Rattus norvegicus: one gene and its partner. The protein of the gene in region 1 interacts with the protein of each later gene in a pairwise test. Links are inferred from orthologs where the notes say so. Each region holds a gene or a part of one and is shown on either strand. Other genes may lie near its edges. The genes, in order: Gsk3b and Bcl2l12.

Region 1 (3,809 bases):
GACCCTGTGCGAAAGGAAAGCCTCTGTCAAGTCAGTACTGTATGCATGGTAGCTTTTGTTTTAAAAACCCTTTTGTGACTAGTGTGCAAACACACATAACAAACATGGCTTATTCTGAGTTGATATGTAATACCTCATACACGATTGTCTGGGACGGGATGTTTGAGGATTATCGTGTACTTGGGAAACTTACATTCCCAATGACTGCTCTTTAGTATAAACTCCTTGAGCTTATGGAATACATATATCTGCTCCATCTTTATTACTAATAAATCTCTTAAGTTATACATTTGCATATATTCCTTTAACTTCACACTCAACCTCAATACAGGAGTGCAGTAAAATACAGAGAGGCAATATTTTTCTCTATTAATATTTACTATTAATATTTCCTCTATTATTTCCCCATTTTTGCAGATTCTAACAAGTATGATTTTTTTTTAAACCGCCGATTTCTTGGTTATATACTGTTGCTAGTGTAAACTCCTCATGCTTTCTCTTTGTGTAGCATTTAGCTATAAAGCCTCCCAACATGCAGCCAAGCCTATACCCCACAGGACAGATCACCATATCCCTTCTTCATTCTCTATCTGTCGCCTCCGGGGGTAGCCCTACTCTCTGTGCTGAGACTTCTGTCCTTATAACTTGGGTGCTTTTTCATCCTTGTTAGAAGTTCTTCTTTTTCAGTTTAGCACCACAGATGATACATTGACTCCTGCTGTCTATAGTCCCTCCTCTTTATATAGACGTCTATACCAAACCGTAGATTAGATTGTGGGTTTAACATCAGTGCAGGTGAAGGGAGGTATTTGGAAAAACCGAGCCAACCTGCTGTCAGTAGGTTCATGCTTAGTCTTGTTCTGCAGTTTCTTTCAAGCCATTCCACTTAACAAACCCTATCCCAGGGTCTCAGCACTGCAGGCTGCGGCTCAGGTGAAAATACACACTAAGGCGTTTTTTTATTTGATGGTTGAATGGTGGGCTGCTGCTTGTTTCACCTATGAAAAGGCACCCAAATCACATGGGGTTTGTTACTGGGGAGAGTAACTGCCGAGTCCTGCAAGAGCCACCTAGTGCAAGTTCCTCTGCTCACCACCATGTCAGAGCATTGTTCGCGCCCGCGCCCAGCGGATTCTACGGGTGTAAAGTAGCTGTGCCTGGATACATTTGAAAGAGGGCTTTCACAGGTGTGAAATAGCTCATTCTTTAGCAACTCTGAGGTAGGATTTTGGAGACACTTAAGGTGAAAACTTAACAAAACTGCCTTCTTAATAATTTTTAATTAGGTGTAACAGGTCTGGCAGTAGCTGAAATGGGGTGTGAAAAAAACCCATTTTATAGAGTCTAACTGGGGTGTCTAAGGGCCATTAGGTAAAGGGAAAAGTTAGTTTCGTTGGTGATGAGGGAAAAGGATACAGGCTGTCAAAGCTCTCAGTTGGATGACTGAGTTGTTGTGCGTTTCTCTTCTAAGCATCTGCTTTACCCATTAAAAATGTGCCTCGTGGGGCTGGGGATTTGGCTCAGTGGTAGAGCGCTTACCTAGGAAGCGCAAGGCCCTGGGTTCGGTCCCCAGCTCCGAAAAAAAGAACCAAAAAAAAAAAAAATGTGCCTCGTGTGTTTGGTTTCTGAGACAGGGTCTCTGTGGCCCTGGCTGTCGCAGCAGCAGCTGCCTCTGCCTCTGTAGAGCGCTGAGACTGAAGGTGTGGGCCACTGTGTCCTGCTTGCTGGTCATTCGTTCGGGAGCTGGATTTAAACTCCGCATCCTAGAGCTGCTTTTTCAAGGGGCCATTCCAAGTCCCCAAGGCGCACTTCTGAAGATAGAAACGTCTGTTATCGAGGGCACTAACACTGAATATCTTGACTTTTTTGACAGTCTGAAAACCTTAGTGTTGTTAACATAGCGAACACTGTTTTATCTGGGCCTAAGAAAAAGATTAAAATTTGAAACAGATAATGAAGGAAAGAACAAATCAAGTTTAGAGCCATCATTGAGTAGAAGTAAACTGAAAGGGAGGAAACCTAGACCCCCAAGACTGAATGACCATTTTCACATGTCTGTGTCCTGCACTGTTACCTCAGATTTTCCACCTGTTTTTGGCATTTATTTATTTTTTTCTATTTGTTCATTCATTTGATTTTATCGCATGTATTTCTTTTCTGTATCTCATGCTACTGTCAGAACAGCTCCTAGAGCAGCCTGCTTATATGAGATGGAGTTACCCAGAGAGACATTTCAAGAGACACTGTGACTCACTTTAACATTTAAAATATGTACTGTAAACTACTTTAGGAGGAAAGTTGTAATAATATGTTCAACGTAGCACTGCAGCGATGGAGCAGATCGGGCCTGAGTCACTTAAATCAAATGCCTTTTACAGTTTGTTTAGCAGTAGGTGTTTAAATCGACTGCGGTGTGGAAGCATGGATTGGCTGTGTAAGGCCGAGCTGGTCATCCCGGGTCTGAAGACCAAGTTTAACAGAGTAGCCAGGTCCCCCCCACACTCCCCCTTTTAAAAGCATATAGGTGGGGAATACTGATACATTCACTTCTATGATTTGCTAACAGTCTTTTGTTGCAGAAGGTTGCTCTTTAATTTCCTGCCCTTCATCTTTATATTTTATTTAGTTACTTATTATTTTGAGGCAGTGTCTCACTGTATACCATTGGCTGACCTGGAACTCTCACTACAGAGTGGCCTCCATCTCGCAGAGGTCCGCCTGTCTCTGCCTCCCGAGTGCTGGGAGGGAAGGTCGCACCACCTTGCCCGTCAGCCATTTTATATTTCACAAGTTGAATGTAGGAAATGGGGAAACCAGAAGAAATTGAACATGTGTGTCCTTTTGTAATTTTTTAAATCTCTTTGTTCCTTAGCTAAGGCTTGACAAATGCTCACTTTAAAAATTCCTCTTTAAAGTATCAATTTGCTGAACTTGTGTATTTCTCTTGTTGGAAACATTTCAAGTGTGTTGCTTACAAGGTTTAGACGATTAAAGATTGTTTTTTATTTTTATTTTTCATCAGTGCAAAGCAGCTGGTCCGAGGAGAGCCCAATGTTTCATATATCTGTTCTCGGTACTACAGGGCACCAGAGCTGATCTTTGGAGCCACCGATTACACGTCTAGTATAGGTAAGTGCTGGCTCTGGGTGCGGTGGGTGTGACTGTTAACTGTCCTGACCCTTCTCCAACAAGGCAGGGCACGACAGAGCAGGGCTGCAGCAGTACACTTTTGCAGAAATGAGTAGAATTAATTTTTTTTACATTTTAGAATTTATGCTTTTCTACTATTAGAATTATAAAAATATTATTTTGTATTGTAGTTGCTTAATGCATTTGTTTGGCTCTTAAGTTTCAAACAAATGTTGATAAGCTTTTAAAAACATTACTGAGGCAGAGATGGATGGCAAAAAGACGTGTGTGGAGCTCAGTCCCAGCCGCGCTGGAGAAACTCAGCTGCTGAGTTAACTAATGGGGTCTGCACTGGTTTTCTAGTTCTGAAATGTTTACTTCTGAGCCTAAACTACTTAGAAATGTGTTAATAAATAATGTTACTTTTAAAATGTTAATATTGTAATCGGTAGGGCAATGATATTCCTGAATCCCTACAATGATGCATCGCTTAATTTTTGAGCAACTTAATTCATTAGCTTTTCAGCTAAGCCCACTGGTTGTTCAGATCTCGCTGGAGATGTCTATTGATAGAAGGGTTAGAGATGGTTGAGGTCTGCATTGACCCTATCTTCTTAACCTGTTCTAGTGCCATTGCTATGTTAGCAGACAAAAACCTGTTTATTTCATGTATTTATCAG
Region 2 (4,525 bases), on another chromosome or scaffold:
TACACTTTATGAGGGTCAAAAGGGTCCTTGCTCCGGTCCTCAGCTAATCGCAACACTTCTTTCCGGTTCAGGGCTGACCGGAAATTCCTCTTCCAGGTTGACAGGTCTGGCTTATCCTTCCCTGGGGTGTAGGCACCACTGGCTTCCGCCCAGGCCTGATACATCAGTGATTCCAGGACAGTAGGGAAGACTACTTAGACACCTCCCACCATATTCCATACATTTCTGGTTCCTGACCTAAGTTCTCACATTCATAGAGCCCCTAGGACTTCTGTCCCGACCTCATCCTTATCTATATTTTCCACACTTTAGAAAAATATTTTTGAATATGAGACAGGGTCTCACACATTATAACAAAGGTAGGCTCCAAGTTTCGACCCTCTAGCTGCCACTTCCAGAGTGCTGGGATTACAAACGTATGCCACACATCCACCTTCAAGCCTTTTGATTTTGGTTTGTTTTTTTTTTTTAGGTTTATTTATTATAGACGAGTACACGTAGCTGTCCTCAGATGTGCCAGAAAAGGGCATCAGATCTCATTACAGATGGTTGTGAGACACCATGTGGTTGCTGGGATCTGAACTCAGGACCTCTGGAAGAGCAGTCAGTGCTCCCAACCGCTGAGCCATCTCTCCAACCCAAGCCTTTTGTTTTTTAAGCCAGTATTCTAGGACCTACTTGGTACCTCACCCCACATTCTGTTACTACCATGCTGATCTGGTAGCTAATAACCCCATCCTGAGGGCTGTTCCAATTCTTAAGATTTAAGGGATCTAAAATCAAGAGCCCACCCCCCCCCCGAGATTTCCCATCCTCTAATAAAAGAGCTGTTCTCAACTATCCGAATACAGATCCTCATGATGTAGTGAGTCCCCAGCCCCAAATTTTTTTCATTGCTACTTCAAAACTGTAATTTTGCTGTTATAAATCTTTTTTTTTTTTTTTTTTTTCCGGAGCTGGGGACCGAACCCAGGGCCTTGCTAGGGCCTTGCTCCTGCTAGGCAAGCGCTCTACCACTGAGCTAAATCCCAACCCCAGCTGTTATAAATCTTAATGTGAATATCTGTTTTCCAATGAAAGGCCCGTTCAACCCCCAAAGGGGTTGCGTCCCACAGATTGAGAACCATTGCTCCAGAACAGTTTTTTAGAGACACAACCTGGCTTTCAGAATTCTATTCCTGGAATCTGCCAATCAATTCCGGGCTGTCCCTCCAAGTCTATCCCACCTAATTAGCAAGACCCAGCCCTGTCTAGTCACGCCCATAAATGCCTCTGAAGTCTCAACGCCCCCCCCCGCCCCCTCCCCCCCAGCACCTGGAAGATGCCAAAGTCAGCCATCTGTGCGTCCTGTCGTAAGCCATGCTTCCATGGGATCCTGAACTTTGTACGGCTCTCGTCCAGCCAGGCCACACCTTTCAGCTGTCCCAGGTCCAGCTGAGACACCAGCCAAGGCAAAATCAGCGGTTTCGGGGTTCCCATGATCCAGCCTGCGCATACAGTGCAGTTCCTGAGCCTGTATGTCAAGGGGCAAATGCACTCAAACCTCTCCGACCCGATACAGCACAGGCCTTCCTTCACCCTGTTTTCCTGTGTACAAACGGGAAACTCCTTCCCACCTTTCCAATTCCAACGGGACCGCCTATCCTACCCCACAGTTTTCCATAGGTTCTTTCCCTTTTCTAAATGTAAACCCCTATTACTCAAAGCAAGTACCCCATTTCCAGGGTGGAGTCCTCTTTCCCTGTCTTTAAAGAATCATGACTGTTCTCACACCCACCTCACCCTTGCAGAAAACCCTTACTCATTTCCAGAGTCTTCTCCCAGCTGCTGTCGCTTCTTCTGCTTTGTCTTTTCTACATTGTTTTTATGGATGTTTTGAGACAGGGTCTTAGTATGGAGCATAGGCTGTCCTCGAACTTGCTATGTAGCCATGATTGGTCTTCAACTCACTGTGTGGCCCAGGCTGGCCTCGAATGCACTCTGTAACCCAAGCTACCCTCAAACTTATTCAGTAGCTCAGGCTGGTCTTCAACTCGCTTAACCCATGCTGGTTTGGAGCTCATTCTGTGGTTCAGCCTGGCCTGGAGCTCACTGGCCTCGAACTTGCAGCAATCTTTACTGCCTCCAGTCTGGATGCTGAGACTGCAGGCTTCCGTCTACAACGCGTAACCATTCTGGTTTTCGGTAGCCGAGCTCCTGTGCCCTGAGGCCGCCACCCTCCCGGTTCTTCCGCGTTACCTACCAGGGGAGGAATTGCGCGCTCGTGGGGCGCGGGTGTCAGCACTGGTTTTGGGGCTCCCAAACAGTAGTTGAGACTCGCAGCCACGCAACCCCCTTCTTTGTCAACTAAGCTTCCGAGCGTTGGGACTTTCCTTTCTAATGGTATTTTGAGATAAAAAAAAAATTTCTCATCATTTACTTTAAGAAAAGTCAGAAAACCTAGGAGCACACTCCGACTGAACCGGCCTAACTCCCTCAATGCCCTTTTTTGGCCTTCCGCCTACAGGCATGCTGGGAACGCCATATGCAAATGATGCAACACAGCGCTCCGCCCCCTCGACGTTGGGGCGGTTACCGTGTCGGCCCAGTGCGCAGGCGCGGGAAAGTTGAACTTCGGAAGTAAAGTTTGTAGAAATTGAGTGAAAGCGTGTGTGCGCCAGTACGACTGAGGCAGAACCCCGATCCAGGTGAGCGGGGTACCAGGGAGGGAGCTAGGTTGCAGGAGAGGTCACAGCCAGTCCTGTCTCTCTGACTTCCAAGCACGGAGGTCTCCTGGTGCCCGCCAGAGGTCATTGGAACTACATCTCCCAGCAGGCTGCTCGGTGAAAAAGAGGGGAAACCCGGCTAGCGTTTGCCGCAAAGCGTACTAGGATTAGTAGTTCCCTATTCTCTAGGGTCTTCGAGACTCCTTCAGCACTCAGGGCTCCCTTCCTGCTCCTGCATGTAAGAGTCCAAGCACTCAGTTACGTCCTTTCTTTCTTTCTTTCTTTTTTTTTTTCTTTTTTTTCGGAGCTGGGGACCGAACCCAGGGCCTTGCGCTTGCTAGGCAAGCGCTCTACCACTGAGCTAAATCCCCAACCCCTACGTCCTTTCTTAGATTCAATAATTCAGGCCCTTTCTCCTCAACGGAATCAACTGCCCCACTGGCCCTTAAGCCACCTTTTCCTTGGAGTAAGGTGTCCTCTTCATTCAGTGATTGAATGAAGTTTGAGTTATCACTCCATTTGGGTACATTCTCTGTCTTCTGCTTCAGGTACCTCCATGGCCGGCTCTGAAGAGTTGGGTCTCCAAGAGGACACACTGAAGGTTCTGACTGCCTTCCTTAGGCGCGGTGAAACTGCTGGGTCCCCTGTCCCAACTCCACCCAGGTGAGATACTATTCCACTCCCCCAGGGCCAGCCTTTGATCAGAAGATCTTCCTGAGTCTAGTGGTCTACTCCCTTCATACCTAACCCCATATGTCTGTCCCAAGCTTCAAGAATCTTCCACGAGAGGACGAAGGGATTGTTTGCTCAGAACCCTCTGGGATAACTCTGAGGTTCTTGCCCCTAGGAGCCCTGCCCAAGAAGAGACAACAGATTTCCTGAGCCGACTCCGAAGATGCCTCCCTTGTCCCCTGGGGCGAGAAGCTCCTCCCCCTGAGTCCTCTAGGCCCTGCTTCCTTCCCCTCCGTCCCTGCTATGGTTCAGAGCCTGGTAAGAGATTTCTTCAGATCACTTGTGAAATTTGGAGGCTAGCAGCCTTGGTCCTGAAGAATCCAGACAGTACCCATTATAAAGTCAACACTGCTCAGCTTCAGTGCCGGCCATAGCCATTTCAGTTCTTTGTTACACTTCTTTCTAGGGGGTAAGTGTTTCTGCCTGGATGGGAGGTATCCTGGGACTCCAAAGCCCAGAAACCACACAGCTCTGAAGGATGAAGGTATCCCAGTGCAAGAGAGACCTGAGACCGGGAGCCCAAGAATCATGCAGCTCTGAGGCGGGACAGTGTCCCAATGTTAGGGCATCCTGAGACATAGGGGCCCAGGAACCACACAGCTCTGGGAGGAAGCCTCCTCGGCAGAGGTGTTTTGGTCAAGGGAGGGTATCCATCCCCAGCTGAGCCGAGGTGCTCAGGAGCCTCAGCCCCGCTCCACTTCTTTGCTTCATTGCTTCTTTTCTTCTTGGCGCCTTCTGATTAGAGAGTCACACCAGGCAGAAAATCTCATGAAAGAGACTTTTTGGAGGGTTCAGAGTATGGAGGGACAAATCCATGGATGACTGCCCTCTGCTCCTGGGATCAGACAGCAGGGAATTAGACAGAGGGCAGGGCTTATATAGGACTTCTTAGAGGGTGGAGCTTCTCAGGGCAGGGATTTCCAGATTGACGATTGGTGGGATTTCAAGTCCTGAGCTTGGGAAGCTCAGGGATTGGTGGCCTTTTTTCATCACCTTTTCCCTGCATTGGGCCCATGGGTTAGGATGAGAAGCCCTCGGCTGCAGGCTGTTTTGGCTGAGATGCCATCTCTGTGGGGCTGCTCCAGGAG

What was found.
Region 2: the proteins of Gsk3b (region 1) and Bcl2l12 interact in a two-hybrid assay, tested with the Homo sapiens proteins (2 studies listed by BioGRID and IntAct). The link is inferred for Rattus norvegicus from reciprocal best matches to the Homo sapiens genes GSK3B and BCL2L12.

What each region holds. Positions count from the first base shown.
Region 1 is NC_086029.1:76,055,609-76,059,417, reverse strand, and holds part of Gsk3b (glycogen synthase kinase-3 beta), read left to right. Parts: intron 1-3,022; coding exon 3,023-3,129; intron 3,130-3,809. UniProt on the Homo sapiens protein: Constitutively active protein kinase that acts as a negative regulator in the hormonal control of glucose homeostasis, Wnt signaling and regulation of transcription factors and microtubules, by phosphorylating and inactivating glycogen synthase (GYS1 or GYS2), EIF2B, CTNNB1/beta-catenin, APC, AXIN1, DPYSL2/CRMP2, JUN, NFATC1/NFATC, MAPT/TAU and MACF1.
Region 2 is NC_086019.1:104,614,427-104,618,951, reverse strand, and holds the start of Bcl2l12 (bcl-2-like protein 12), read left to right. Parts: upstream 1-1,513; 5' UTR 1,514-1,566; intron 1,567-1,801; coding exon of another isoform or gene 1,802-1,902; exon of another isoform or gene 1,903-1,940; intron 1,941-2,242; exon of another isoform or gene 2,243-2,344; intron 2,345-2,506; 5' UTR 2,507-2,687; intron 2,688-2,800; exon of another isoform or gene 2,801-2,943; intron 2,944-3,253; 5' UTR 3,254-3,261; coding exon 3,262-3,368; intron 3,369-3,552; coding exon 3,553-3,695; intron 3,696-4,525. Other genes in the region: Irf3 (interferon regulatory factor 3), read right to left, coding at 1-155, 1,315-1,513, 1,802-1,902.